2 linked regions of the Oryctolagus cuniculus genome follow. The protein of the gene in region 2 interacts with the protein of the main gene of each other region in a biochemical or structural test. Links are inferred from orthologs where the notes say so. Each region holds a gene or a part of one and is shown on either strand. Other genes may lie near its edges.

What was found.
Region 1: the proteins of TJP2 (region 2) and OCLN form a complex in vitro, tested with the Homo sapiens proteins (3 studies listed by BioGRID). The link is inferred for Oryctolagus cuniculus from reciprocal best matches to the Homo sapiens genes TJP2 and OCLN.

The regions. Positions count from the first base shown.
Region 1 is NC_091445.1:90,429,261-90,444,189, reverse strand, and holds the start of OCLN (occludin), read right to left. Parts: upstream 9,958-14,929; 5' UTR 9,814-9,957; intron 9,812-9,813; exon of another isoform or gene 9,672-9,811; intron 9,656-9,671; exon of another isoform or gene 9,516-9,655; intron 1-9,515. UniProt on the Homo sapiens protein: May play a role in the formation and regulation of the tight junction (TJ) paracellular permeability barrier.
Region 2 is NC_091432.1:161,215,626-161,230,454, reverse strand, and holds the start of TJP2 (tight junction protein ZO-2), read left to right. Parts: upstream 1-7,947; 5' UTR 7,948-7,971; coding exon 7,972-8,043; intron 8,044-14,158; coding exon 14,159-14,212; intron 14,213-14,829. UniProt on the Homo sapiens protein: Plays a role in tight junctions and adherens junctions. Acts as a positive regulator of RANKL-induced osteoclast differentiation, potentially via mediating downstream transcriptional activity.

The sequences.
Region 1 (14,929 bases), on a different chromosome or scaffold from region 2:
GCATTGCGTCTGAGTCAGCTCCATGCACTGCAAGCTGTAGGAGCCTGAGGCCGGACCCCCAGGCCTCTCAAAAAGAACTCCTCAAGCCGGCCTTCAAGGTCTTTAACAGTGGAGAGAGACAGAAAAAAACCAGTCTGAAAAAATACAAATCGGGCCTTCCTGACTGTTGGCCTCAGCTGTGTCTTCGGCTTTTTCCCCAACCAAGAGACATTTCCCCAGGAGGCCCATCAAAGGAGATAAGCCCCCCAGGTCCCTGCAACTGCTTCAAGTGTGGGCAGCTGGACACTGGGGCAGCACCTGCCCACAGCCATGGCCTCCCCCAGACACGGTCCCTTCCAGGGCCACTGGGAGTCTGACAGCCCCATGGCCCCTCGAGGCGGCTGGGCATCACTTCCTAGACCTCAGCCCAAACCTCCGGCCTCCTGGCCACCTGCCATGCGCCAGCTGATCCTGAGCCAGGTCTCCTGGGACTCTTGGAGAGGACTAAAACAGCCCAGACCAACACGGGCCTCCACCTCCACCACCCCTGGGTGGCTCTCAGTAACATTTCTTATCAACACAGGAGCCACTTACTCCCATTCTTCCATCTCTATTGCTGGGGTCAACAGACTTATCTCAGTTCCCAGGGGGAAAAAATCCAATTCTCCCTTGTTGCCTTGGAAGACACTTTTCCGCACATTCCTTTCTGGTTCCTTCCCACTGTCCCACTCCCGTCCAAATTCCACACCACTATGACCCCTCCAACACCACCACCCTCCCAGCCAAAAACCCCAGGGCTCCTTCTGCTCCATCCAAGTGATTATTAACAAAGTCATTAACAAAGCTGTGCCTACTCCCCATAGCAGATACTGTGCCTACTATGCCACCATGGACCACAGGGGCATTTCTTTTTTTTTTTTTGACAGGCAGAGTGGACAGTGAGAGAGAGAGAGACAGAGAGAAAGGTCTTCCTTTGCCGTTGGTTCACCCTCCAATGGCCGCCGCGGCCGGCGCGCTGCGGCCGGCGCACCGCGCTGATCCGATGGCAGGAGCCAGGAGCCAGGTGCTTTTCCTGGTCTCCCATGGGGTGCAGGGCCCAAGCACCTGGGCCATCCTCCACTGCACTCCCTGGCCACAGCAGAGGGCTGGCCTGGAAGAGGGGCAACCGGGACAGAATCCGGCGCCCCGACCGGGACTAGAACCCGGTGTGCCGGCGCCGCAAGGCGAAGGATTAGCCTAGTGAGTCGCGGCGCCGGCCAGGGGCATTTCTTTTCAGTCCTCTCAAGACCACTTCACTGCTACTCAGACAGACCCCAACACCCGTGCTCACAACTCACACGGGCTGTCCTTCCCCAGGGTTCTGGGACAGCAGGCAGGCATTAACTGAAGACCTTTCCTCTCTTTCCCTCCCAGGAGCACCCTCCCCCAGTATGCTGGCAACCTCCTCCTGTGCAGCCCAGAACACAGACCTCCCAACTGGGTCTCCCCCTCCAAGGCTCAACCCAACCAATCCCCGTCACAGACTTGGGCTCATTCTGTCTCCAGGAAAGCAGCAAATAAGCACAGGACAGAAATACCTCGTTTCTTCTCTTCCTAAGCCTACCAGCAAACACGACCTCCTGTCCTTCTTAGAATTTAGAAAGTGCAAGGGGGCTGGCTCTGTGGCGTAGTGGGCTAAGCTTCTACCTGCAGTGCCAGCATCCCATATGGGTGCCGGTTCGTGTCCTGGCAGCTTCTCTTCTGATCCAGCTCTCGGTTACAGTCTGGGAAAGCAGTAGAAGATGACTCTAGCTAGTCCTTGGGCCCCTGCACCCGCGTGAGAGACCCAGAGGAAGCCCCTGGATTTTTGGATCAGTTGAGTTCTGGCCATTACGGCCATCTGGGGAGTGAACTAGAGGATGGAAGACCTTTCTGTCTCTCCTCTCAAATAAATAAATCTAAAAAAAAAAAAAAAAACTTAAGATGTGCAAAATTGTCACATCTTGATCTGAAATCTTGTTCTTAATGCCAGGCCCTAATACGAGGTCACTTCACGAGCCTCTCTCCACTTTGGCTGATTCTTCCTCTCTCTCAATTAGCCCTCCGACACCCCCTATTATGAACTCTTTTGCTGCTATGGGTCCTTATCTCTTTGCACATCCAACTCTATATCCCCCCCATGGCTGGATTCAGCCTCTCTGTCTTGTCAACTTTTCCCTCCTTCTCAACCCATACCTTCCCACTCCCACGCCCTTATCTCCCCACTATCCAGGTGACCTTCAACCTCCTCAATCAAAATAGGCCTTGGAATTACAATTCCCCCAGGACAGACTGATCACAATCCAAGCTTCCCCAACTGACTGGAGTCAGCTCAAAACCAAGCCTGCCCTTTCCTATTCTAATGGACTGAGACGGGCCATCCATCTCAGGGTCAAGTCCACCAACTCCCATATCCTCCTCAAACATCTGGAAAACAGGCCACAGTTCAACCGCCATGGACCCACTTTCTCCTGTCTCTTTCCAGACAAGCCCTTCCTTGTGTCTCTTCTACCCCCTATCCCCCCACACCCACCAGGACATCCAGGGGGAGCTCCTCCCAACATTACAGACATGCAATCAGTCCTTCACCCCCTCTCCCAGTGGACAGTGGGTCCATCACCCATGACCAAACCAACTCCCCACACACCTATCACTCAACCTCCCTCTTTTATAATATATTCTTCCCAAAGCCCTACCATCTCACCACCAACTAGAGACAGACAAGTTATTTAGGCAGCACCCACTGGCCCTTCAAGGGCCACAATTTCTGATTCCAACCAACACAAAGTGTTAATGGTCACAGAGTGGAGGGCGGTTGCTGGAGCGAGTCTCTTGGGTTCTTTTCCTCAGCTTAGTATAGAAATAAAAAGCTGGGAGACAAATTTGCAAACTTTTATTTGATTGGTAAGCAATAGAGAAAGCGCCTGGTCCAAGAGGAGACCAGGGGAGTGCCCAAATGGAACACTGGCTTTGAGGAAGTGTCTCGGGTTTTTAAAGCATTGCTATCTGTATACTGAGTTATCCTATTGGAGGTGCCCACTGACAAGGTTTTTTTTAAAGATTTATTTATTTATTTGAAAGTCAGAGTTACACAGAGAGAGGCGAGCCGGGGTGTGGGGGGTCTTCTATCCGATGGCTCACTCCCCAATTGGCCGCAACGGTCAGAGCTGAGCTGATCCGAAGCCAGAAGCGAGGAGCTTCTTCCAGGTCTCTCATGTGGGTGCAGGGGCCCAAGGACTTGGGTCATCTTCCACTGCTTTCCCAGGCCATAGCAGAGAGCTGGATCGGAAGAGGAGCAGCCAGGACTAGAACCGGCACCCATATGGGATGCCGGCGCTTCAGGCCAGGGCATTAACCCGCTGCGCCACAGCGCTGGCCCCTGGACAAGGGGTTTTACATGTGCTGATTGGCTTGGGGCTCACGGAGATAGTACCGGCCTCCTGGAGACTGCCCGTCTCCTTAGGGGCTCAGACCCCCCTCCCTCTGCTAGCCCCAGGTGAAAGACTGCACCCACCCTGAAGGTGACTTAAGGCTGCAAGGTCACAAGTGCAGCACAAGAAGCTAGCATCGGGGAGATGCCGGTTGGTATGGAGACAGGCTTTCCAGCCACAGCGGGCAGCCCGCTTGTGAAGGACATCCACCTCTGTCTGAAGGGGCCCACAGACCCCCAGCCCCACTGGCCAGCCTCACAAAGCAAAAGGACTACAAGAGTTTACATTCCTCTGAGGGCCTGGGTGAAATCCCACCATTCTCCCCTTCACACGGGCACACAGCTCCTCAAGCCTGCCTCACACAGCGATCTGCTTACCCCGTTAGCTGGGACGACCCTTACCTCTACCTAATGAAGGGACCGACACTTCCACTTCCTTCCTGTCTAAGCCTATTTCAGTCTTGATCCATATTTAGAGCCCGCCCACAGCCCGGACTTTGTCTGCGGAACCAGTACCCACCTATGCCTGCCGGCCAGCTGGCCTGGGACCTGCACGCCTGCTTACTCATGCCCAAGCTCTCACTAATCAGTGACAGCATCCCATTCCACTTCGCTCACGGACTCCACGATCCTACCTGTCCTAGCTGCCACAGCCATCCATTCGGGCGGACCCCTCCAGGCCACATCTGCAGCCAGGCAGGTCTCACGCGAGCTGAGCCAACAAACTGCTGCCCTGAGAGCTGAAGCTGACCCTGTGCAGGAAGCGCTCACCTTCCTGGCTGGCGTGATGGTATAGAGCAGTCAAGCACTTCACATCCTCTGCTAATCAAGGGGGAACTTAGGCCATGCAGAGAGGAAAAAAGGCTACTGTTTCGGTCATCAGTCCAGTAAGGTATATATCGACCTAAAAAACATGATCAGGCCGGCGCCGCGGCTCACTAGGCTAATCCTCCGCCTAGCGGCGCCGGCACACCGGGTTCTAGTCCCGGTCGGGGCGCCGGATTCTGTCCTGGTTGCCCCTCTTCCAGGCCAGCCCTCTGCTGTGGCCAGGGAGTGCAGTGGAGGATGGCCCAGGTGCTTGGGCCCTGCACCCCATGGGAGACCAGGAAAAGCACCTGGCTCCTGGCTCCTGCCATCGGATCAGCGCGGTGTGCCAGCTGCAGCGCGCCGGCCGCGGCGGCCATTGGAGGGTGAACCAACGGCAAAGGAAGACCTTTCTCTCTGTCTCTCTCTCTCACTGTCCACTCTGCCTGTCAAAAAAAAAAAAAAAAAAAAAAAAAAAAAAAAAAAAAAACCATGATCAAAAACACCATAAACTTTTCTAAACATGGCTGGCAGGGGAGTTTTGACCAACGGAGTTCCAAGACCAATGGCTGAGGGTGGTCCTCCTGGCCAGCTCCCTTTCTGGGTCCTATAACAACCTTCCTCTATTCCTCCAGGGTCCCTCCCTGTCTCCTAAATTCTACCCTTCTTCATCCAAGGGCAGGTCCAGGCTCTCAGGGAAGCTTTACAAAGGCGACAACAAACTCGGGAGGTGTCACTCCAAGGCACCCGTGACCACTAGGTGCTCCCAGCTTCCCTTTCTCCTGGTAGGGGCAGCCCTGCAGCCAGCCCGTTCAGCAGGAACTGACCTTCACCCCATCCACCAGAATATTCACCAAATAACAAGAGGAGGGAATGTTAGGGAAAAGGACTCCCTACACACACACACACACACACACACACTCAGCCATTTCTTTTTCTCTGAGGCCTTGTACAGAAACTTTGCAGGCCAGCACTGTGGCACAGCGGGTCTCCCATATGAGCATCAGTTCCAGTCCCAGCTGCTCTGCTTCCAATCCAGCTCCCTGCTAGTGCACCTGGAAAAGCAGGGGAGGATGGCCCAAGTGCCACCCTTATGGGAGACCCAGAAGAAGCTCTTGGTTCCTCATTTCGGTCTGGCCCAGCCCTAACTGGCGCAGCTATTTGGGGAGTGAAGCAGCAGATGAAGATCGTTCTGTATCTCCCCCGACACCTCCATAACTGTGCCTTTCAAATAAATTAAATAAATCTTTTAAAAAAGAAAAGTCCTCACACCTGGTGATTCTGGAGAATTCCCCAAGCAAGTGCCCGCACCCCTACCCAGCGAGCTTCCTGCCTGGCTAGTACACACTACCACAACACCTGCAAGACACCACCGTCCGTCCCTACCTCTAGCTCAGGCAGGCAAAGGCCCAGAACATTCCAGCACATGCTCCTCTTTGCTCAGCTGCTCCCTGAGACACACCCCTTGCAGCCCTTCCTCTGCAAAGTGAAACAACCTTCCAATAAACTGGTGCTAACCAATCCTGCTTGTCCCGCATACTTTGGCCTGCTGAATATCAGCCAAGTAAGCATTCCAAAAATGCAAACTTGGGGGCTGGTGCTATGGCTCAGCAGGTTAAGCTGCTGCCTGAGACACTGGCATCCCATATGGAGCAGCTGGCTCTGCTTCTGATCAGGCTTCCTGCTAATGTGCCTCGCAAGGCAGCAAAAGATGGCCCAAGTACCTGGGTCCCTGTCACCCACATGGAAGACTAGGATGAAGTTCTTGGTTCCTGGCTTCAGCCTGGACCACAGCAGCCATTTAGGAAGTGAAGCAGCAGATGGAAGATCTCTCCCTCTCTCTCCCTCTCTCTTCCTTTCAAATAAAATCTTCTAAAAAATTAAAATGTAAACTTAATTTTAAAAATCAAGAGCTTAAGTGCAGAATAAAGGAGACCTGGTGTTTTCAGTGCAGGTGCTTTATGGTGTTCTATTTAAAAAAAAATTTTATTTATTTGAAAGGTAGAGTTACAGAGAGAGAGAGAGAGAGAGAGAGAGAGAGAGATCTTCCATCTGCTGCTTCACCCCCCAGATGGCTACACCACATGGTTCAGGGGCCCAAGGACTTGCGCTTCTCCAGGTGCATTAGCAGGAAGCTGGATGGGAAGTGGAGCAACTAAGATGCAAACCAGCATCCACATGGGATTCCGGCACAGTAGGAGGCAGCTAAACACAGCACCAGCCACAGTGCAGCTGTGTTTTTTTTTTTTTTTTTTTAATGTATTGGAGTTAGCTTTTTTTTTAAGATTTATTTATTTTACTTAAAAGTCACAGTTACACGGAGAGGGGCAGAGAGGGGGAAAGAGAGAGAGAGAGAGAGAGAGATCTTCCATCTGCTGGTTCACTCCCCAAATGGCCGCAACGGCCGGAGCTGAGCTTAGCCGATGTGAAGCCAGGAGCCAGGAGCTGTTTTTAAAAAGTGCATTTTCGGAGCCAGCACTGTGGCATAGTGGGTAAAGCCACCACCTGCAGTGCTAGCATCCTGGGTTTAATTCTAATATGGACACGGGTTCAAGTCCCAGTTGCTCCACTTCCTATCCAGCTCTCTGCTGTGGCCTGGGAAAGCAGTGGAAGATGGCCCAAGGCCTTGGGCCCCTGCACCCGCATGGGAGACCAGGAAGAAGCACCTGGTTCCTGGCTTCAGATCGGCGCAGCGCCGGCTGTAGTGGCCATTTGTGGAGTGAATCAACAGAAGGAAGACCTTTCTATCTCTCTCTCACTGTCTATAACTCTACCTGTCAAATAAAAAAAAAATTTTTTTTTTAAAAAAGAAACATAAGCTGAGCTGGGAAAGAGTCTGAAAATGCTTTGCTCTCACCTTATTCCTTAAGGAAAACTGTCAACAAGTGAACAGGTAACCTTACTGTGTTTATGGGGAGTCTGTTCCTTTTACATCACACGCAGCAAGAGTCAATTTGCCTTTTAAAAGTATAGGTTAGAGCAGTTAAGATGCCCACAACACGCATCTGAGTGCCTGGGTTTAATTCTAAACTCCAACTCCTAACTTGAGCTTCCAGCTGGTGGGCGTCCTGGGAGGTACCTGTGACACACCTATGACTGGGCTCCTGCCATCCCAGTGGGAGACCTGGGGTTGTACTCCAGCTCTGGGCTACGACTGTGGCCCCCTGCCCACTGTGAGCATTTGGGAATGAATCAGCAGATGAGAGCGCTTGTGCATGGGCTCTCTGCCTCTCAAATAAGTGGGGGGAAGAAACTGGGGGGCTGGCACTGTGGCATAGCGGCTAAAGCCGCCGCCTGCAACTCTGGCATCCCATATGAGTGCCGGTTAGAGTCCCCGCTGCTGCATTTCAGATCTAGCTCCCTGCTAGTGCACCTGGGGAAGCAAGGGAAGATGGCCCAAGTCCTTGGGCCCCTGCACCCACGTGGGAGACCTGGAAGAAGCTCCTGGCTACTATCGGCCCAGCTCTGGCCTTTGCAGTCATCTGAGGAGTGAACCAGCGAATGGAAGATCGCTCGCTCTCGCTCTCTGTCTCTTCCTCTTTCTCTGTAACTCTGCCTTTCAAATAAATAAATAAATAAACCTCTTATTTTAATGCAATCAATGAAAACTTCCTTCTGTGAAGCTCCTCAGAGGTGAAAGATGTACCCGTCTACTCACGCGGTGACACAGAACTGCCTCATTGAAAAGACACCAGCAATTCCCACGTTATCTTCAGGAGAAAATGAGGAATTCCACCTTTACGTCGGGCAAGGCCACAGGGACTGGTCAATGGCAGAGAACCTCAGGAAAGCTCGCCAAGTCTACTCTGATGCTGGACTATCAAGCACTGAGGCATCCGACACACCTTCCCAGGTCAGGTGAAGCTTTCCAGCCAGCCCATGTTCCATCCTTCCCCTGCAAGCCGGTAGCCACCTTAAAATGCAGGTCCAACAGGACCTGCCTTGGGTAGAGAAGGCACTGCCCATTACTTCCCTAAACAGCCAGGTAAAGAACCTGCTGGCAGGTGCATAGCCTGTGTTACCCATGTCACTACACCCCCTCTCCACGGAACAAACACCTAACAACTAAATAAACGCAAACTTTTTTAACTGAGTGTTATTTTGCCTAAGGAGATATCTATAGGTGTGGCTCCACCATTTAAAATATCTTTTAAAAACACCAGTAGTACAAAACACAGGTACCCTGCAAAATAACAACTGCTGCACCTGCGAGAAGTCTGAGAAACCTACCTCCACCTAGAAAGAACCAGGTTTCAACCTCAGCACGTCACCCGAATCACCCTCGTGGGAAGAGCTCCTGTTTTCCCAGGATCCCAATAATGCACCTGTTGTGCAGAACCTGGAAAGCGGCCTGCAGCCCGCCCAGCCCCGGGGCTTCCCCCTCGGGCTCCGGCGCTCCACAAAGACGCCAGGGACTCGGAGGGGCTCCCAGCCCCAGGGCGCAGAGGCCATTTTGGCTCCCACACTGGCCGGTCGGGCGGCGACCGTGGGTCCCCGGCCGCGCGCTCCGCGGCGCTCGGGCAGGCTCGGCCGCAGGCAGGTCCGCCCACCTGGCGGTGGCCTTTCGGTCACGGGTGAGGACCCGAGGCGTGAGCCGCTTCCCTAGAAGTCCAGCCTCACTCGAAACTCACTCTCCGCCCCTGGCTTAAATCGACGCGGGTTCAAACAACTCTCACGGAGTGGCTTCGAAAGGCCAGGGTGGTTCACGGCGCGACTCCAGGAATTCTGACCCGGAGCAAACCGGCCACCCCTCGCCTGGACGCCCAAGGGGGTGGGGTGCGGCCAAAGCCGCCCCGGCCGGCCAGTGACCTCTGGCCCCCACCCCCTGGCCTAGGACCTTGCAGCCGGCGCCGCGCCCCTGTGCCTAGGACCACCCCCACTCAAAAAAAAAAAAAAAAGAAAAAAAAAGAAAGAAAGAAAGAAAGAAAAGAAAAAAAAGACCTGTAGAGCCTAGCGCGCAGTCCTTACACCTCCCGCCCCCCTAAAACAGAAAAGCTACCCGCGCCGCCCGGACCCTGGTCACTTGCAGCGCTTGGGTCGAACAAAGCTGGGCCCCCGCGGCCCGGGCACGCAGCCTCCCCCAGCGCCAGGCGCTGCTCCCTGCACGGTCCCGCAGCCCCCGGGCGAAACCGCCACCGAAACCAGCGCTGAGCGTCCTCCCCGGCGCCGCCTCTGCCGCCCAGCGGGGACCCTCGGGGCCCCCTGCGGCCCTGGCGCCGCGCCCAACTCTCACCCACTCACCGCCCCCCACCCGGGGGCCGCAGGAGCCGAGGAGCGCGCTCACCTGGCTGGCGCACCTGAGGCCGCGCGGGCCGCCGGCGGGCAGCCCGGGACTGCGCTGGGGACCCAGCCCTCGGCCTCCGCCCGGCCCCGGCCGCCCTGCCCCGGGCATGCGCACCCGCGCCCGGCCAGGGGCGCGAGAGGCCCTCGCGAGTCCCACCTGCCGCCGCCGCGTCCCCCGCGCTCCGGCCGCCGCTGCCCGGACTCCAGCCGCCTGCCTGCGCGCGACCCGGGCGGCCAGGGGAGGCGGGCGCTCGCGAGAGGTGTGGTGCGGCGGCCTCCTCCCCCGGTGACCCATTCACCTGAAACTCGCCCGGGCGGGGGAGGGGAGCGGGCAGCGGCAGGCGGAGGACCCAGCCCTGCCCCGCACACCCCGCGGGCGCGCTCCGTTAAAGGAACCGCACCGCGTTTCGGCCGCGGCGGCCCGGGCTCCCGGGAGGCCGGGGGAGGCGGTGCAGCCCCCCGGGGCTGGCGCACGGCGGGAGCTGGCGGGGCGAGGCGGAGGGAGGCGTGCGGGGCTGCTCGTCCTCGCACGCCTTCCTCCCCTCTGAGCGGTGGTCGGGAGAAAGCGACCCGGAGGCGTTCCTCCAACCGCAGACCCCGGGAGACACTTTGGGAAGGCGCGATGGTTTAGGAGCACTTTCGGGAAAAGCCCGTCGCTCAGAGTAACGGCCGGGGGCCGGGTCCTCAACCCCACCTCCACCCCCGAATGAGACTCTATGATTGGCAGGCGGCTCTGAGCGGCTTTTCAACTGTTTTCGGTAGTCTCTTTGGCTTAAAAGACAAAGAGAAAAAGCAAAACAAAACAAAAAAAACCTTAGTCTGGTAACTAAGAGAATAGATTTCTATTATTTCTTGGTCTGTGATTGACCGCCTACGGTCTATGTCTGCGACAGTGTTGCATTTCGACTTTTTAGCAAAATTGTACCCTGGGATGTGGTCGTTTTAGTTCTTACCACGGGTCTGCCTTGAAAGCGAGAATTTAGGTTTCTTGAAGCCTGACTCTATTCCTGGGATGCCAGCCTTGCCGATGAGTCTCTGTCCAATCCCGCCCACCCCTGAGCCTTTAATAAGTGGTTAGAGCTGTGACGCTCCCGAATATTAGATCTTAAGGCACAATTCAATACTGAAGGAAGTAAAAGCTTGTAAATATAGCATAAGGTGTTTTAAATGATGACAGCCTTAATAGGTAATTAATCTAATTGGTATTTTTTTTTTTCGTGGAAGTCATCCTTGCAGGGTGTTTGTAGTTTTTGAGTGATGCCGTTTAAATTAGTATTGGTAACACTGGGGAAGTCAAGTTAATCCTCTTAATGTTCAATGCCAGATTACTGAAATCTCCGAACATTCCAGTCGGTTTATAATTAAACAAGGGAACATTTCCTAATGCTCCCGAGGTTTGTAAACACGTGTCTTTTACTTTACAATGTATCTTGACAGTCCCTAACAATAGAGTACAGCAAAGAGGTGATCCTCCGAATTTCTTTCTATTTTTGGAAAAGAAATGTATTCCACACAACATCAAATGAATCCTTTCCAAGTGTGCATTCAAGTCAGTGATTTTTGAAACACTCACGAGGTTGATTTCACATTTCCCTCACCCCAGACCCAGGAGCCGCACTCTCCACTTCCCTCTCCCCAGCTTCTGTCTTCCTGTCTCTATTGATTTGCCCAAGCTGGACATTTTATACGAGTAGATAACAGAAGACAGTCATCCCTTGGTGTCCAAGAACACCAAAATCTGAGAGGATCAAGTCCCTTACATAAAACATCCTATTATTTGCATATAACCTGTGTGTATCTCCCTTACACTGTGTCATCAATATAAGTGTTGTGTAAACAGTGGTTGTACTATATTTAGGGTCTAATGATGAGGAAAAATGTCTGTACCTGTTCAGTATAGACTGAACTATTTTTCCCAAATGGTTTGCATCCAGAGTTGGTTGAATGCATGGATCCAGAGGGTCAGTGGGTGTAGCCTTTGTGGCTGGCTTCTTTTATTTCACATGCTGTTTTCAAGATTCATGTGTGCTGAAGCAGGTACCAACACCCCATTCCTTTTTATGACTGAGTAACACTCCTGTGTATGGCTGTTCCACATTTCATTTAATCCACTCATCAGTTGATAGAGATTTAGAAACGTTCATGTGTAAGTTTTTGTGTGGATTTCTTTTGAATTCTTTTGTGTAGGGTTTTATTATTTTTTACATATTTATTTGAGAGGCAGAGAGAGAGTTTCCATCTGCTGGCATTCCCCAAATGCCCTCAGTGGACAGCCATGAAGCCAGGAACCAGGAATTCAATGTGGGTGGTGTGCTTCCTCCCAGGGTCTGCATTAGTGGGAAGCTGGATTCAGGGGCAGGGCCAGGGCCAGGGGGTGAACCCAGCACTCGGCTGTGGGACGCAGGCATCTTAGGTGCTGTCCTCACCTCTGTGCCAAACACCTGCCCTGAAACTGACTTCCTAGGTATTGCTGAGCCCATGCATAGGGATAGTAGGATTTGTTAAGTTGAACTACATGAAACTGGCAATAGTTGATCATTTTTTAATTGCAAAAATGTCAACTTCATATGGTTTAACTCAATACTAAATTAAATTTCTGGGAAATGTTTTATACCATTTATATTTAGTTCAGATTAGTTTTCCAAACTATACTCACAACAGTGAAAGATCCAAAAACTAGTGTGGTTTGACCTATTGCCTAATACTCATTCTGTACACATTAGGTAGTAGTTGAAAGTATCTAGAAAAAAAATCCAACCTTAAAACTTAAACATATCTTCGACAGCAAAACAAACTTTATTATTGGGGGTAAAGGACTATACTCAATTTCATCATGTCACATAATCATAAATTGTAGCAAAAATTAACTATATTTTTACCAAGTATTGCTTCTTGGCAACTCACTATTGACTACTATTTGATTAGCATCCCCATGACTCAGAAACAAGTAAATATTATTCTCAGAAGACCTATGATTAGAAATTTGTTGATTTTACCTGCAGTCAAATGGATGATAAAACTAAAAATGGTTTTCTCTTCCTTATTATATGTAAAGGAGAAGGTTCTGCTCAGATTATACTGTCAGAAATCTGCATTCAAGTCTGCATTGCCAATTAGTAGCTGGAAATTATATAGTCTAATTTTTCTCCACTGCACATCCAGGATGATAATAAATAGTACCATACAAGGTAGTTGGTAGGCTCGTGGGACATTCTCCAAGGCAGACTGCACGCTGGGCCATAAAACAAGTCTCAGTAAATGTTTAGCAAGTCATTGCTGTGTCCCATCGGCCGGGAATAGTCCCCGAGACACAAGTTTTCCAGAAATATTGCTTGAGTGAGTGTGTCGGTGAATCTAACCCTGATTCTCCTAGCCCCACTTGTCTGCAGTCTTAGCCATCTCTCAGGCAGCCAACACTGTGAAACCAACACATTCCTTGGTAGCATTTCAAGACTTACATCTGGAGAACTAGGGCTTAGAGAAGAAAAGAAGAGAGATTAAAATATTTCCACTCTGCTGCACCTGCTTAGTGGATGAATCCAATGTTTGGTATTTGTTCAAGAGCAATTCAGTTTGGAGTTGCTGAGGGCACCCTGTTTCCCCACCCCACCACGGGGGAGGCTCCCTCCTCCACAGAGCACAGTTTCCTTGGATAAGTGGGAGGATCTATGGGGAAGTGAGCAGGAAGGCAATTTCTAAGAGGACGATTACGTGAGGGAGTGAACCTCTGTCTCCTCATTTCCTGTGCAGGAAGCAAGATCCTTCCAGGAGGAATCCAAGGTGGAACAAAGAGAATCGACAGCTGAACAGGAACTTCAACAACTGAAATAATAATTAATAGTAACAACCTTCCTTACTCAGAGAAAGGCGTGTGCCAGGTGCTGTGCTGTGTGTTTCATGAGCTTTTGATTTTTTGTTATTTTTGCCTTTGCAGAAACCATATGATGTACTGTTCTTTTCTCCATGTTATGCATTGGAAAACTACAGCTCAGAAAGGGTTGATCATTTACTCAGGTTATCTGCTTGGTGATAGACAGGATTCACACCCAGGTCATGTGGTTCCTGCACTCGTGTTCCCAACAGCTTCACTGTACTTCAGGTGACTTGCTAATACTGTGGTTTTTTAAAAAACAATTAATTAATTTATTTGAAAAACAGAGTTACAGAGAGGCAGAGTCAGAGAGAGAGAGAAGTCTTCCATCCACTGGTTCACTCCCCAAATGGCTGCACCAGCTGGAACTGGGTTGATCCGAAGCCAGGAGACAGGAGTTTCTTCCGGGTTTCCATGCGGGTGCAGGGGCCCAAGGATTTAGGCCATCTTCTCCTGCATTATCAGGGAACTGGATTAGAAGTGGAGCAGCCAGGACTCAAACCAGCGCCCATATGGGATGCCTGCCCCACAGGTGGTGGCTCTACCACTACACTGCAGTACCAGTCCTTATAATACTGTATTAAACTGTGTATATATGTCATAAATTTTTGTGGGAATTTTTTATTTTATAATACAAAATATTTTTAAGGATAGAATTTAGAGACCTGATTGGAAGGTGGTTACTGACCTAAGTCCAGGTGTGTTGTTTTGTGTGTTTGGTTTTTTTTTTTTTTTTTTTTTTTGACAGGCAGAGTGGACAGTGAGAGAGAGACAGAGAGAAAGGTCTTCCTTTGCTGTTGGTTCACCCTCCAATGGCTGCTGCGGCTGGCGCACCGTGCTGATCCGATGGCAGGAGCCAGGTGCTTCTCCTGGTCTCCCATGGGGTGCAAGGCCCAAGCACTTGGGCCATCCTCCACTGCACTCCCGGGCCACAGCAGAGAGCTGGCCTGGAAGAGGGCAACCGGGACAGAATCAGGCGCCCTGACTGGGACTAGAACCCGGTGTGCCGGCGCCGCAAGGCAGAGGATTAGCCTAGTGAGCCGCGGCGCCAGCCCAGGTGTGTTGTTTTGTGAATAACATTCCTCAAATACCCACAGAAAGTAACCGTAACTTCATTGGATCAGAGTAGGTTTGGTACCATCATCTGCGGAGAGAGAGATCTGGTATGGGCCAGAATATTGTCGCAATGGATGATGCAGAGAAAGAGATCTGGGGATGGTTTTTCTTTTCTTTTCCTTTCTGTGGCCTTACTCTAGGTAATTGGCCTGAAATTCAGTTTACCAATCATATGCAGCAGGGCAGGACATTTCCCTACAGATTGGAAGAAAATCTGTTTTATCTTTAAAACTGCACTGGTCGGGCCTTTATTGTGGCTTAGTGTGTAAAGCCGCAGCCTGCAACCCCAGCATCCCCTCTGGGCTTCAGTTCATGTCCCAGCTGCTCCACTTCCTATCCAGCTGCCTGCTAATGTGCCTGGGAAAGCAGCAGAAGGTGGCCCAAGTGCTTGGGCCCCTGCACCCATACGGGAGACTCTGGCTCCTGGC
Region 2 (14,829 bases):
ATAGGATGCTGAATCAGAAGCAGAGGACCTGGTCCTCAAACCAGCACCCCAGGATGGGATAGAAGCATCCCAAGTGGTGGCTTAGTCTACTGTGCCACAGCACTGCACCGTTGTAAGTGTAATTATCCGCTGTTTCTTTTTTCCCTCGCATCTTGTTAAAGGCGAAGTCATACAGATCTGGATTCAGATTATGACCAGCCTCTTCTATTAGCTGTGGGGCCATGCTGTGTGCAAGTTTCTTAACATCTCAAGCCTTGTATTTTCACGTATGAAAAAAAGGAGGGCTCCTATGGGATTTATGGGCGACTGAAAGGCAGTACAATATGTAGCGTGTTGTTAATAGCCAGTCGGGGATGATACGTTTCAGGCTGTTTTTACTCTGTGTTCACCAAGGCCCAGCGATTGGGGAGCTTTTGCACAGATACCTAAAACTAGCTGTAGAAGAGCCAGAAAGGACATCTGACCCACCTCCCCTCCCACACTCTCCCCCTTGCCAAGCTGAAGAGTTACTGAGCTAGGTTGGGTGGACCCTGGCTAGCTGCTTGGGAAAAAGCCACCATGTTCAAGGTGTCAAGGGACAGGGAGAAGAGATCCATGCCTGAATCCATAACAATGGATCTTCAGTTTGGAACCAGGGACCAGGAACTAGCAGCTTTTGAAGGGCGTGTAGGTGCTTCACAAAGTGCATAGAAAATGGAATTAGAGACAGGTGTTTGGCCTTGTGGTAAAGATGGCATTTGGGCCACCATCATCCCATAGTGGGATCCCTGGGTTTGAGTCCCACATCTGCTCCTGATTCCAGCATCCTGCTAATATGTACCTTGGGAGGCAGCAAGTGATGACTCCAGTCATTGGGTCCTTGCCAGCCACGTAGGAGACCTGGAATGGGTTTGTGGTTCCTGGATGTCAGCTTTGACTTGGCCCATCCCCAGCCACTTTAGGCATTTGGGGAGTTAGCCAGAAGATGGAGCTCACTCTGTCTCTCTGTTTCTCTTACTCTCACATAAGTGAGAAGGAAAATGGGATTAAAAGATAAGTTTATGGGAACGAGTATTTGGTGCAGCAGTAAGACACTGCTTGAGATGCCTTGTCCTATATCAGAGTGCCTGGGTAGGAGTCCTGATCTGCTCTTGATTACAGCTTCCTGCAAATGGAGTCCTTGAACAGCAGAGGATGATAACTCAAGGACTTGAGTCCCTGCCACCAGGTGGGAGACCCAATTGGAGATCCTGGGGGCCCCTGGCTATAGTGTGGACTGGGCTGTTGCTGGCATTTGGGGAGTGAACCAGTGGGTAGCAGATTTCTGTCTCTCTGCCTCCCAAATAAAGAATGAATAAAATTTTTTAAAAGGATAAATTTGTTTTGGCACAAAAATATTGACATAATACTGGAATCCATGCATATGAAAGGTCTTTATAAAGCACATGGATGGCCGGGGCCTGTGGTGCCAGCACACTGGGTTCTAGTCCCGGCCAGGGCGCCGAATTCTGTCCCAGTTGCCCTTCCTCCAGTCCAGCTCTCTGCTGTGGCCCAGGAGTGCAGTGGAGGATGGCCCAGGTCCTTGGGCCCTGCACCCGTATGGGAGACCAGGAGAAGCACCTGGCTCCTGGCTTCGGATCAGCACAGTACGCCGACCACAGCGGCCATTGGAGGGTGAACCAATGGTAAAGGAAGACCTTTCTCTCTGTCTCTCTCTCTCACTGTCCACTCTGCCTGTCTTAAAAAAAAAAAAAGCACATGGAAATAAATGTTATGAAAAAGCTACATATATATTTTAACATTTTTTTCAATCAAAAATAAACCTTTTTTAAGATTTATTTTATTTATTTGAAAGTCAGAGTTACACAGAGAGAGAAGAGGCACAGAGAGAGAGAGGGAGGAAGGGAGGTCTTCCATCCGATGGTTCATTCCCCAATAGGCTGCAATGGCCAGAGCTGCACCGATCCCAAGCCAGGAGCCAGGAGCTTCTTCTGGGTCTCCCACATGGGTGCAGGGGCCCATTGGGCCATCCTCTACTACTTTTTCCAAGCCATAGTAGAGAGCTGGGTCAGAAGTAGAGCAGCTGGGACATGAACTGGCGTCCATATGGGATGTCAGCACTGTAGGCAGCGGCTTTACCAGCTACCCTACAGTGCCAGCCCCTGAACCTATCTTTATTTATTCATTTGAAAGACAGTTACAGAGAGAGGTAGAGAGAGAGAGAGAGGTCTTCCATCCACTGGTTCACTTGTTAGGTGGCCACAATGGCCAGAGCTGCACCGATCCGAAGCCAGGAGCCAGGAACTTCCTCCGGGTCTCCCACATGAGTGCAGGGGCCCAAGGACTTGGGCCATCTTCCACTGCTATCCCAGGCAATAGCAGAGAGCTGAATTGAAAGAGGAGCAGCTGGGACTTGAACCGGTGCCCGTATGGGATGCCGGCGCTTCAGGCCAGGGCTTTAACCCGCTGCCCAACAGCACCAGCCCCCTGAACTTATCTTTTAAACCAGTTTTTCCATGAACTCTGTGAAGTGTCTGCATAGAGTGGAACTGGCAGTTTTCTTCAGTGGAGAGGATGCAGTGTCCCCTGCCACTTCGCGCCCCCGTGGCCTCCTCTGTGTTCCATTGCTTCTCCGGCTTCAGTGTGCTTTCTGTGAAACGAGCTTGACGGTGATGATACTGGCGATGGCTGATGTTGCCTGTGTGGTTACTGTGCACCTTGGTTCTCTGCATGTGTGGTCTGCTTAAAGCTCATAGAAGTGAGTCCCGGAGAAGTAGGTCTTGATGCTGCCTCTGCTCTGCAGATGCAGGAAACCCAGGCAGTGAGCGGGGAAGTAGCTCGCCCAGGTGAGTGCTGGCCCACAGGCTTGAATCCTTGCTTTGTGACCACAGAGTTTGTGATGGAGTGTTTAAAAGAAGAAAGCTTTATTGGGATGTAATTCACATAGTATATAATAAAGACATGCAGTTGGTAGTTTTTAATATGTTCAGAGTTGTGCAGCCATCGCTGCAATTTTAGAACCTACAAATGGATTTTATTAAAGTTTTGTTAATTTTTTATTTATTTACAAAACAGAGCAACAGAGAGACAGATGGACATCTTCCATCTCGTGGTTCACTCCACGAATGCCCACAAGATCCAGGGCTCCCATTTGGCTGGCAGGCACTTAGCCACTTGGGTCATCACCTGCTGCCTCCCAGGGGTGCGTGAGCAGGAAGGTAGAGAAGCAGGGAGGGGACTCAACCCAGACAATCTGATGTGGATGCAGGTGTCCTCAGTGGCGTCCGGACCCCTGTGCCATAGCACCTCCCACCCCTGGAGGAAGCCCATCCCCACTGGCGGTCACTCCTCATTCTCCCAGGAGTCTCAGGCAACCAGGAATCTGCTTTCCACCTCTGACTTTGTATCCTCTGGACCTTTTATGTAAATGGAATCACAGGATGTTTGTCACATTCCTCGTGGTTTGTGTGTATGTGTGTTTTTATGATTTATGTTTATCTGTTTGAGAGGCAGAGCCACAGAGAGAAAGGGAGAGACAGAAAGGTTTTATTTTTATTTTAAGATTTATTTATTTTTATTTGAAAGAGTTACACAGAGAGGCAGAGGCAGAGGCAGAGAGAGAGAGAGAGAGAGGTCTTCCATCCGCTGGTTCACTCCCCAATAGGCCACAACAGCCGGAGCTGCGCTGATCTGAAGCCAGGAGCCAGGAGCTTCTTCCAGGTCTCCCATGCGGGTGCAGGGGCCCAAGCACTTGGGCCATCCTCTACTGCTTTCCCAGGCCATAGCAGAGAGCTGGATCGGAAGTGGAGCAGCCGGGACTAGAACTGGCGCCCATATGGGATGCCGGCACTGCAGGAGGTGGCTCTACCCACTGTGCCACAGCGCTGGCCCCAGGAAGGTTTTACTTTATTTTTGTTTAATAGGCAGAAATAGATGGGGGGGGGGCACAGAGAAAGAGAGAGAGAAAGCGAGCTCCCATCTGCTGTTTATTCCCCCAAATGCCTGCAATGGCCAGGACTGGGCCAGGCTACAGCCAGGAGCCAGGAACCCTGGACAGGTCTGCTACACTCACAGATGGCCTAGCCATCATCTGCTGCCTTCCAGAACACTGGACTCTGAACAGAGTCAGAAACCAAACCCAGGCATTCCTGTGTGAGATGCAGGCACCTAGTCCTAGTGCAAACTAGTCCTCTGGCAGTCAGGGGTCGGTGTGCGGGAAGCACACATCAAACCTCGTGTAGAAAAGGATCCAGATCTGGAGTCAGACCCCAGCTGCAAATCCCATCTCTGACAGTGGTGAGCTGGGTAACCCCACTCCCACCCCTGGCCCTGGCTCACTGTCTGTAAAATGGGCACAGTCCAGCTAACTCACAGGGTTGTGGGCATGGCACCCTCCTGGAGCTGAGTGATCCTTTAATTTCCCGTTCTCCTACCCACCTCCCCTGCGTCCAGGGCGTGTGTGCGCACATGTGTGTCGTAAAGCTTCCAAGCCGTGGATTAAGGGTTCTGACACATCTGTCTGTGCTGAGGATATAAGAGCACGAGTGTTTTGTGGAACAGTCCACTCCCCAGTGACGGCTGAGCCCGGCAGTGTCCTGAACACACCTTGCAAGGTTATCCCTCAGGCTCTGAATGGACTTCTCCCTCTGTGTAGGGTGCCCTCCTACCTCACGTCAGCCATCCTTCATCCTTGAACTCCGCAGCACTCCAGTGGGAGAGAGCGCCTCCCTCTGCCCCAGGCCTCCTGCCGCCTTGTTGTAACTGTTGCCTGTGCTGTCAGTTTCTTAGGCCCTTGCTGTTGCTCCATCACTCACCCTGCCACAGCCCTGCATGGCTGTGTTTCTCCCATGAACACCCTAAGCTTGTTTCCCGCCTGAGGGTCTGGGCACTTGCCGTTGCCTCTCCCAGGAGAGCTATTTAGATTTTCTTGGGATTCATTTTTTTCTAACCTCACATCCCATGGTCTTTATTGGCATCTGAGATTATGGGTTTACTTATTCACTGTGCTTCCTCTCACAGCCCTCCCTGAGGGTCCCTGCCACCTGCAACACTGTCCACACATCACAGGTCCTGTGTGCTTCCTGCTATTTTTCTTTTAAAGTTTCTATGAAAGGCAGAGTGACAGGGAGGGAAGGAGGAATGGGATGAGGAGTGCAGAGAGAGATCTCCCATCGGCTGGTTCACTCTCCAAATGCCTGCAACAGCTGGAGCTGGGCTAGGCCAAAGCCAGGAGCTAGAGCTTCCTCCATGCCTCCCACGTGGGTACAGGGACCCAAGCACTTAGGCCATGTTCTGCTGTTTACTCAGGTGGATTACCAGGGAGCTGGGTCTGGAGTAGAGCAGCCAGGACTCGAACCAGCACCCATGTGGAATGCCAGTGCAGCAGACGGTGGCTTAACCTGCTTTGCCACAGCACTGGCCCGAGGCCCACCTCTTACTGCTGTCACAGGGGGTGTCTTTGTACCCTGAGTTTAAGGGGCTCTGCCCATTCAAACCATAGGAAGTAGGGGACTGTGTGCAGGTGCTCCTCAGCTTGTGATAGGGTCGCATCCCAATCAACCCAATGAAAGTCTAACCTGCATTTGGTGCCCCTCACCTCTGAACCACTTAGCTCAGCCCCAGCACCCTGTGGAGCCTTGGTGGTTTCTTCTGTTGGCTGTGGGGGTCTCACCTGCTGCTACCACAGGGCGTTGTACTGCATGCTGGTAGCCTGGGAAGAGACCCGGCTCTGGGTGTGTCTTCTCTTAATGTGTGTCACTTGGATACCATTGTGAAATTTACAGATCATCAGGACAGGCACTGTGGGTAGTTAGGAGTGGTTAAGGTAGTTTATGTTGTGTTATATGTATGTGTGTTTAAAGGTTTTATTCATTTTTAGAAAGATGTATTATTTATTTGAAAGGCAGGGTTAGATAGAAGAGAGAGATCTTCCATTTACTGGTTCACTCCCCAAATGGCTGTGATGGCCTGGGCTAGGCCAGGCCAAAGCCAGGAGCCAGGGGCTTCTTCTGGGTCTCCCACCTGGGTGCAGGGGCCTAAGTGCTTGGTTCATCTTGCGCTGCTTTCCCAGGCACATTCATAGGGAGCTGGATCAGGAGTGGAGCAGCCAGAGCTTGAACCTGTGCTCCTGTATGGGATGTATCGTAAATGGCAGCTTAACCCGCTGCACCACAATGCTGACCCCTGTGTTACATGTTTGAGTACCATTTGATAAACAAAATTAGTGTTGCCAGAAACTGACATCTTCCAAAATCACCATGGACGAATCTAGAACTCAAATGCTGGGACATGTCTGGCTTCTGGGCAGTATGCATGAAGTGCAAGAAATGGGTCAGTTTCCTGAGGCCTGGCAAAGCAGTGTGCTGGCCCCCAGCTGCCTTGTAATCCATGCTGCTTTGCCGCTGAGCCCAGTGAGCCAGCTCCTTGGGCTGAGCCTGCCTGGGCACATGGATCCTGCAGATGCCTGCACAGCTCGTGTCGAGGCACCCACTCAGCTACTAGGGGTCCTGCCCTCTCAAGTTCAGATTTGGAGCACAATACAGTGTTCCTTTTCCGAGCCATTAGAACGCTTAGTGAAGAGCTGTACCAAGAATTTGTTCTCATAGAATTCCGGGGAAGGGCAGGAGCAGCATGAGCTCTGCTTAGAGGTTGCCTCATTTCTTGCTGACCCGGGGCCTCTGAGGTGCACATGGTTCCAGGTCACTTTGACGAGGAAGCAGCAGAGGCTCCAGGGCCCCACAGTTGAGTGGCAGAGCAAGGGTTGCACCTTGAGGACTTTGCTTCGGTTTCAATCAAGTTGCTTCCTGTGTGGTCTTGACCTTGTGCTCCACCTTTATATCCATCGCCCTCTCAACCCCCAGTGGCTCACACCCTTCTTCTGCCACCTGCTTGGTGTGGTGCATGGTGTGTCCCTGCCCTGTGGGAGCAAGAATGACCAGGAGCTCCCCAGGACCTTGTATCTGAAATCGGAGCTCCAGCTTCCAAGCTCCTGCCATCCCAGCAGGCATTTCTAGATGTCCAGAATCTTTCCATTTGCATTTCCATCCCTCCCTAAGGCAGAGAGACAAACAGAAGGCAGCCTGTTTGTTGTTCTGTTATCTGTGAAGTTTATAGAAAGGTTAGAAAGAGGAGAGAACTTTGCTGAGCAAGCACTCTGTCCTGGACCGCTGCCCACTCTTATCTTCCCCTGGTTATCTCCAGGATTGGAGAACATTTTCTCTTGGTGCCTCGTACTTCTATGTATCATTACCAGTTCTTTCCCAGCTGGCTTGTGCTTTGTATATGAGATGATCTGTGTCAGTTCTCTGAATATTCAGAGAATATTAATATTATTTTAAAGGTCTCATGTACAGTTATTCCTCAGTGTCTGTCAGGTATTGGTCTAGGACCCCCTGCCCCTGCCCCCTTGGAACCACAGGCTGTGCACGCTCAAGCCCCTTGGATAGGCTGGCATGGTCTACGCGTATCTACACACGTCCTCTTGGATGCTTTGAGCCACGTCTAGATGATCGTAACACAGAGCAGTGGCAGTGCTCGATGCATCGTTGTTGCACTGTCTTGTTGAGGGAGGGGTGCTGAGAAAGAAGTCCGTGCATGTTCTGTACAGGCACAGTTTTGGGGAATGCTCTCCCTCTGTGCTTGGCTGCACCTGCCGTCGCAGAGGCTCTGGGTACAGAGGGCACACGGAGTGCCGACTCTGCTTAATCTTCTCTGCTGATACACGGCCATCTCCTATGGCTAGGAGAAGTATCTCCTGGCACACGCTGGTTCCTCGCGTGGGAGAGGGGCCGCCTTCTCTTCTGACCTCACAAGTGGGGCTTTACAACGCGCGCAGCAGCTCTGCCGTCTGGATGCGGCACTGTGTGAGATGACAACAGGATTTGCCGCGAATGTGGGGCACTATTGTATCCGCCTTATGTAACCACGTGGAGGCATGGCCATGGGTGAGCAGCCTGCGAGGTAGGCGGCGGCCAGGCCGGCTCCCAGGAGGCCATGAAGGCTGCTCGGGTGCTACACAGGATGTGGATCCAGGCTGTGAAGAGCTGTGGGAGACTGAAAGGCCATGTGAGTTGCGGGGCACTCTCCCCCTCTCTCCTGGGGGAGAGGAGCCGCTCTCACAGTGGCTCCTTTATGCTCGGGCTGACTTGGGCTCTGCAGACCGTGGGGTGTGGGCAGCGGTGGGTTGCTGACAGCCATTCTCTGGGCTTGTGCTGCAGAGCTGCTGTTTTCTGACGTTGGGAATCTGCTGGCATGGTTTTCGCTTCCTACATGTGGCTTAATGTACGATTGTTTGCATTTGAGGGTTTCTCATTTGGGGTAAAACAGTGTTGTCTTCTTGCTCTGCAGAAATACGTGCTGTTTGAACTCCCTTTGTCCGGTTGTCTCAAAGATCAGAGAAGTTGTTTTCCATGTGTCCCTTGTGTTCCTGTGTGCTTGGAGCCTGTGGCATCTGTATCACGTGTGCCGCTGAGGAGCTTGGGGGTTCTATGGAGTGTGTCCCTGTGGGTGGCTTTATATTAAACTTGGTTTTCAGCTGTGATCTCCATCTTCGGAAGCAGCAGTTTTAGTGAACAGAAAACCTGAAAGTGGCCTGTTTAGGAGACATTGAGGATATTTGTATCTGAGTTGTGACTGCTCTTTCTGTAAAACACATTTCTGAGTTCTTATGTGAAATATATGTGATGTTTAAAAATCCAGTTGGCCAAGGTTTTCCATAGGAAAGAAGTTTTAATGAAAAGTAGAGGATGTTTTCTTTAATAGGAAACAAATCAAATAACTACTTGTCCAAGTCCCTCTCTCTCCTTTTATTCACACAAATACCTGATCACACAGACTTTATTTGTGGTACAAAAGTCAGCCTTCCAGGGGATCCAGGAGGGCTTGTCCTGTCTGGGCGGGGATGGAGAAGTAGGAACGATAAGGAGAAGTGATGAGGAGCGTGCAGAGGACCCTCCTGGTGGGCAGCATGTTGACCCTCAGGTGGAAAAGATGACTTGGAGCCTTCAGCACCTGCACCCTCTGCACTGCCCCCCGCCCCGGCATCTCCATGCCTGCGCACCACGCTTGCCTTTCTTTGTCTCCCCGAGCTGGTGCCACCCCCACTTTGCCATCTCTGTTCTGCCCTGTCACTTTGCGAAATCGGAACTGCAAAATCAGTATTAGATGACCATTTGGTATTGGGTCCCTGTCTGGGAACCAGGGACTGCTGGATGCTCCTCTCACTCGCTTTGCTGTTCTTGTAACTTAAGGAATCTGATGCCTGTAAAAGAGTTCAGTATTGAGTGACGCAGTGTTGATTAAATACCATGAGCTCAACCCACATCCCATGGACCTCACCGAGACAGAACACACGACCCTATGTGTCACTCCCTGCCTCGCCCTCTGCAGCCTGCCCTGGCCACTTTGTCCTGAATTTTGTGCCTTTCATCCCCTACTTTGATGGTGTAGTTTTACTACACACACACACACACACACACACACACAAAGCACATAACACAAAATCTACCATCTTAACCCCTTTAAAGTTTTCATTTGAGTAGTGTTAAATGTGTTCACATTGTTGTAAAATGTTGTTTGCCTCTTTAACTCTTTAAAAATGATACCGCATGAACCAATCCCTCGGCATGTTTTTCAGTCCACATTTTATTAGAGATATGTCCTGTGCCCTGTTGTGCTTCTGAGTGTATGTGGCTGTGGTTGGTTTGTTTTCATGGCAGTGCAACTTTGTATTTTTCTTGCTGTTTGTTCTGCCCTTGGTAGATATTTGGTTTCCCAATTGTGGCCTTTGAGAACATGGCCGCGGTGCCTGCTGTAGCCAGGTATCCTACGTGCACGTGATGTGCACATGTCTCCGCGTTTCCTCCAGCTGCTGGATGCGTGGCCCTCCCTGGAAGGCTTCCCACACCCTCAGCAGCCACCCGCTGGCATTCATGCACAGTCCATGTGTCAGCAGCAGGTCTGAGGCTCCCACAGCCCAGCACCATGGGTGGGGCCAGAGCCTGGTGGCCCAGTTGGAGCGGCCTCAGCTCAGGTCTCAGCCGAGCTGACTCACGCTGCCTCCTGCCCGCGGGTGTGTACGCAGAGCTCACACTCTGAGGAATATGGGTGATAGCGTGGGGTGCCCTGTGCTTCCGAAAAGGTACTGGAGAAACTTGGCAAGGCAGACACGCTGGTTTGTTTTCTGGGCACTGTGGCTAGCTGGAGAACTCCACAAGGGCTCTGGCTGCTGTGTTCTGTTGTGTATCCAGAGTGCCACAGACTGCGTGCTTGGCACATATGGGATGCTCGGTTAATAGTTTTGAATGAATGGTGGTGAGATTGTTGCAAAAATGCACAGCTCTGTGTGCTAAATATACATGCTAAGGATACATTTTTAATGTTCAAAGTGCTGATAAAATTGCTTTTTACCTGGGGCCGGCGCCGTGGCTCAGTAGGTTAATCCTCCGCCTGCGACACTGGCATCCCATATGGGCGCCGTGTTCTAGTCCCTGTTGCTCCTCTTCCAGTCCAGCTCTCTGCTGTGCCCCAGGAAGGCAGTGGAGGATGGCCCAAGCGCTTGGGCCCTGCACCCACATGGGAGACCAGGAGGAAGCACTTGGCTCCTGGCTTCAGATTGGCACAACATGCCGGCTGTAGCAGCCATTTGGGGGGTGAACCAACAGAAGGAAGACCTTTCTCTCTGTCTCTCTCTCTCACTGTCTAACTCTATCTGTCAAATAAATAAATAAAAAATAATAAAAAAATTGCTTTTTACCCAATCCCTACACCTTTAAGATTTTAGATTTTCCATTTAGTTTAGCACAGTAAGTTTCCTTGTAATATTCTGGTTAATGTCTTAACCTGTTAACTGTGAGTGAGAAGAGAGGCTTCTTAGATTCTAATCAGTTTCCTATCTGGTATCTGAGGTTTTAGATAACTAGGCAAGTTAATGGCCAGATCTGACCATTTGAAATTTTGATTCCGCTCTATTGATGGTGATAATGGTAAAATGTTGATCCTGTCTATGACAAATCAACTTTGAGAGAGGATATGAATCTTCCGTCTTCTGATGTGCTCTACAAATGCCTGGAACAGCTGGGCCTGGGCCAGGCCAAAGCCAGAAGCCTGGAACTCCTTTGGGTCTCCCATGTGGGTGGCAGTAACCCAAGTCCTTGAACCAACACCTGCTACTTCCCAGGGTGCTCCTTAGCAGGAAACTGGGATCAGAAACAGAGGTAGGATTTGATCCAAGGGATTCTGACTTGGAATGCAGTATCCCAAGCAGCAGCTTAACCTGCTGCACCACAACGCCTGCTCTTGACAAATCTAGTTTAAGTTGCTCTTTAAGTCATACAGTAGTGCTTACAGAGAGTGTTCACTCATTAAGGAAGAACCTGAATTTCAAAAGCCAGATTCATTCTACCTGGAAACTTTTAAATAAAATTTTGTAGCAACCCTTTATTTTGGGTGTGTGTGTGTGTGTGTCAATGATCTATTTTAAATCTAATAATTTAAAAAGATAGTTTGTACTTTTATTTTTAAAATAAAAATGTGTTTTAAAAGTAATGTCTTTGGGACCAGCACTGTGGTGCAGAGTTTAAAACTCCTGCCTTCAATGCCATCATCCCATATGGGTGCTAGTTTATGTCCCGGCTGTTCTACTTCTGATCCAGCTCCCTGCTAATGTGCCTGGGAAAGCATCAGAGGATGACCCAAGTCCTTGGGCCTCTGCCCCAAGTGGGAGACCCAGAAGAAGCTCCTGGCTCTGAATCAGCTCAGCTCTGGCCATTTCAGCTATTTGGGGAGTGAATCAGCAGAAGGAAGATCTCTCTCTCTCTGCCTCTGCCTCTGCCTCTCCCTCTCCCTCCTCTTCCCCCTCCTCTGTGTCTTTACCTCTCTCTGTAACTCTTTAAAATAAATAAAATAAATATTTTTAAAAAATAGTAATGTCCTCATACAAAAATATTCTCAGTAATATCACAACTCCTTAGGAAATTTAATACATTTTGGTGTCCTTCCAGTCTTTTCCAAATGTGCTTATGTAATTATGGATTTGTGAAAATAAGAACAAACAATGAAGTTTTGTTTCTTGATTTCCTCCCTTGTACCATACTTTTTAAGTACAGATCTCTATATATGTATAGTTATCTCCTTAGTGAATATTACATTGGTTTTCTGTTTAAAAACTTAAAAGTGGGGCCGGCGCCTTGGCTCACTTGGTTAACCCTCTGCCTGCAGCGCCGGTATCCCATATGGGTGGCCGGGTTCTAGACCCGGTTGCTCCTCTTCCAGTCCAGCTCTCTGCTATGGCCCAGGAAGGCAGTGGAGGATGGCCCAAGTGCTTAGGCTCCTGCACCCACAAGGGAGACCAGGAGGAAGCACCTGGCTCCTGGCTTCGGATTGGTGCAGCTCCAGCCATAGCGGCCATTTTGGGGGTGAACCAAAGGAAGGAAGATCTCTCTCTCTCTCTCTCTCTCTCTCATTGTCTATAACTCTGCCTGTCAAATAAAAAAAAAAAAAACTTAAAAGTGGTTTTAAATTACTCAACTTTTTGTCATACAATAAAATATCTGATAAGCTATATATGAAGAAAGGAGGTTTATTTGGCCCACAGTTTTTGGGGTTCACAGCACACAGGGTGGGCCCATGGGTGTGAGGCTGCTGGTGAGGGCAGAGGATGGTGGGCAAGCATCTGCAGCCCAGCCTCCCTTTCATATCCTGCCCTCCCATGAGAAGCACCTCTCAAAGCCACGCCCTGTGCCTCAGGCCTTCGCACCAGGCCCACCTCCTAACTGGATTAACTTTCCTCCCTCTTAATACCATTAGTTGGTGACTTGGGCACTTAACTGCAGAAGTTTTGGAGCTATATCCTATTAAAACTGTAGCAGGTTGTGTCTGTGCACGCTGCTTTGATGCTAACCTGGGATGTTCTTTGAAGCCTGTGTTTAGGTTCTGTGTGTTCTTTGGGTAGGATTTCCATTTGCCTCTATGTAGGCGATGAACACACGGGACCACCTTGAGTGTGAGTGTTTGGGGAAGTGTGGTCACATCAGACATGAATCTCAGCACTAAACCTGTGTGTGTGCAGGTTTGTTGCTAGAAGTTCTTTGGAGGGATGGTTGTAGAGCCATGGACGAGACAGGCAAGTGTCCTGCCATCTCCTTCTATGTGGCAGTACATTTTCCTGCTCAGTGATCACCCAGATCCAATCTTCCACCCAGTTTGCATCTCCTTCTCCCAGGATCATGCTTTATGCCAGGCTTTGAGCTTTCTTAGTGTATGTAGCCCTGAAAGGCAGCTTGCCTTCAATGGATTATTAGAATTTTTATCACGACAGCACTGTTTGTCGGGTTTTTTGTCAACATCTACTGTGGAATATTGTTGGAGACAGAAGCCCAGTTTTTGAGCCATTTTCATCCTTCACATCCAGCCATACAAATGGAGGAAAAGCCAAAAATACCACAGATTGTCCAGCTGAGCGCACTGTGATGAGGCCAAGGAGGTCCTTGGACACAGATGTGCAGAAACTTCCCTGGGACACTGCCTTTTACAAGGAGGGGGAGAGGGGTTCAAAAAATGAGAAAGCAGTTTTTCAAATTAGATTTTTAAAAATTTATGAGGGGATGAGAGAGAAATCTGCTATCTGCTTGTTTACTCTCCAAATGCCTGCAGCAGCCAAGGCTGGGCTAGGCCAAAGTTAGGACCCAGAACTCAATCCAGGTCTCTCAGGTGGGTAGCAGGAACCAAGTCCAATAGCCCTCCTTGGTATGCACTAGTAGAAAGTTAGAATTGGAAGTGGAGCTGAGGTCCAAACCCAGGCATCTCATGGGGGATGCTGGCCTCCCAGCTGGTGTCATCATTGGCTGTGCCAAACACCTGCTCGTGAAACACAGGTGTTTGTAAAGGGATTTTTGTGATGATAGTGTTTTTGGAATGCTGATAACAAAGGGCTCAACACCTAGCACGTTGTTCCCTCTCTCACCGTGATGTCTCTAAATTTTCTAGTGGCATTGTTGAGACTGCCATTGCCTTGAAGGGGGAGTGCATTTGAAAGTTGATAGCATAACTTTCCAAACAGATATCATCTCTTTTTGGCATGCAGAAAGTGTGAACTGGACTTTGTATTGAGATATGTTGAATTTTGGCTTCATTTCTGGCATTTGTGGTTTTAATCAGATTGGTTTTGTTTATTTTAAAACAGGCCCCAGGCATGGAAGAGCTGATATGGGAACAGTACACCGTGACCCTACAGAAGGTGAGTTCTGTGTGGGATTCATGGGTTGTATGGGCACATTCTGGGTTTTATGGATCACAGATCTTACCATTTTTGCCCATATGCAGTTTTGGTTTATTCCCCCTTCAGTTAGGTAATACGTTACTGGTGTAGGTAGCAGCTGTCAGACACTACTGGGTTGACAAAAATTTGCATGCTATTGTGTGTGTGTGTGTGTGTGTGTGTAAGATTTATTTATTTACTTGAAAGTTAGAGTTATAGAGAGGCAGAGGCAGAGAGAGAGAGAGTCTTCTATCTGCTGATTTACTCCCCAAAATGGCCGCAATGGCCAGAGATGGGCCATTTGGGAGCCAGGAGCCAGGAGCTTCTTCTGGTTCTCCCACATGAGTGCAGGGGCCCAAGGATTTGGGCCATCTTCCACTGCTTTCTCAGATGCATTAGCAGAGAGCTGAATTGGAGGTGGAATAGCTGGAACTCAAACAGGTGCCCAAATGAGATACTGGTGCTGCAGGTGGTGACTTACCCACTACACCACAGCACCAGCTCCTCTATTATATATTTTTAGTGAAGTCTGTATACTATAGAACGTTTTAGAGGTTATTTAGTGTATTCCGCTGTCTGCAGATTGAACAGGTACA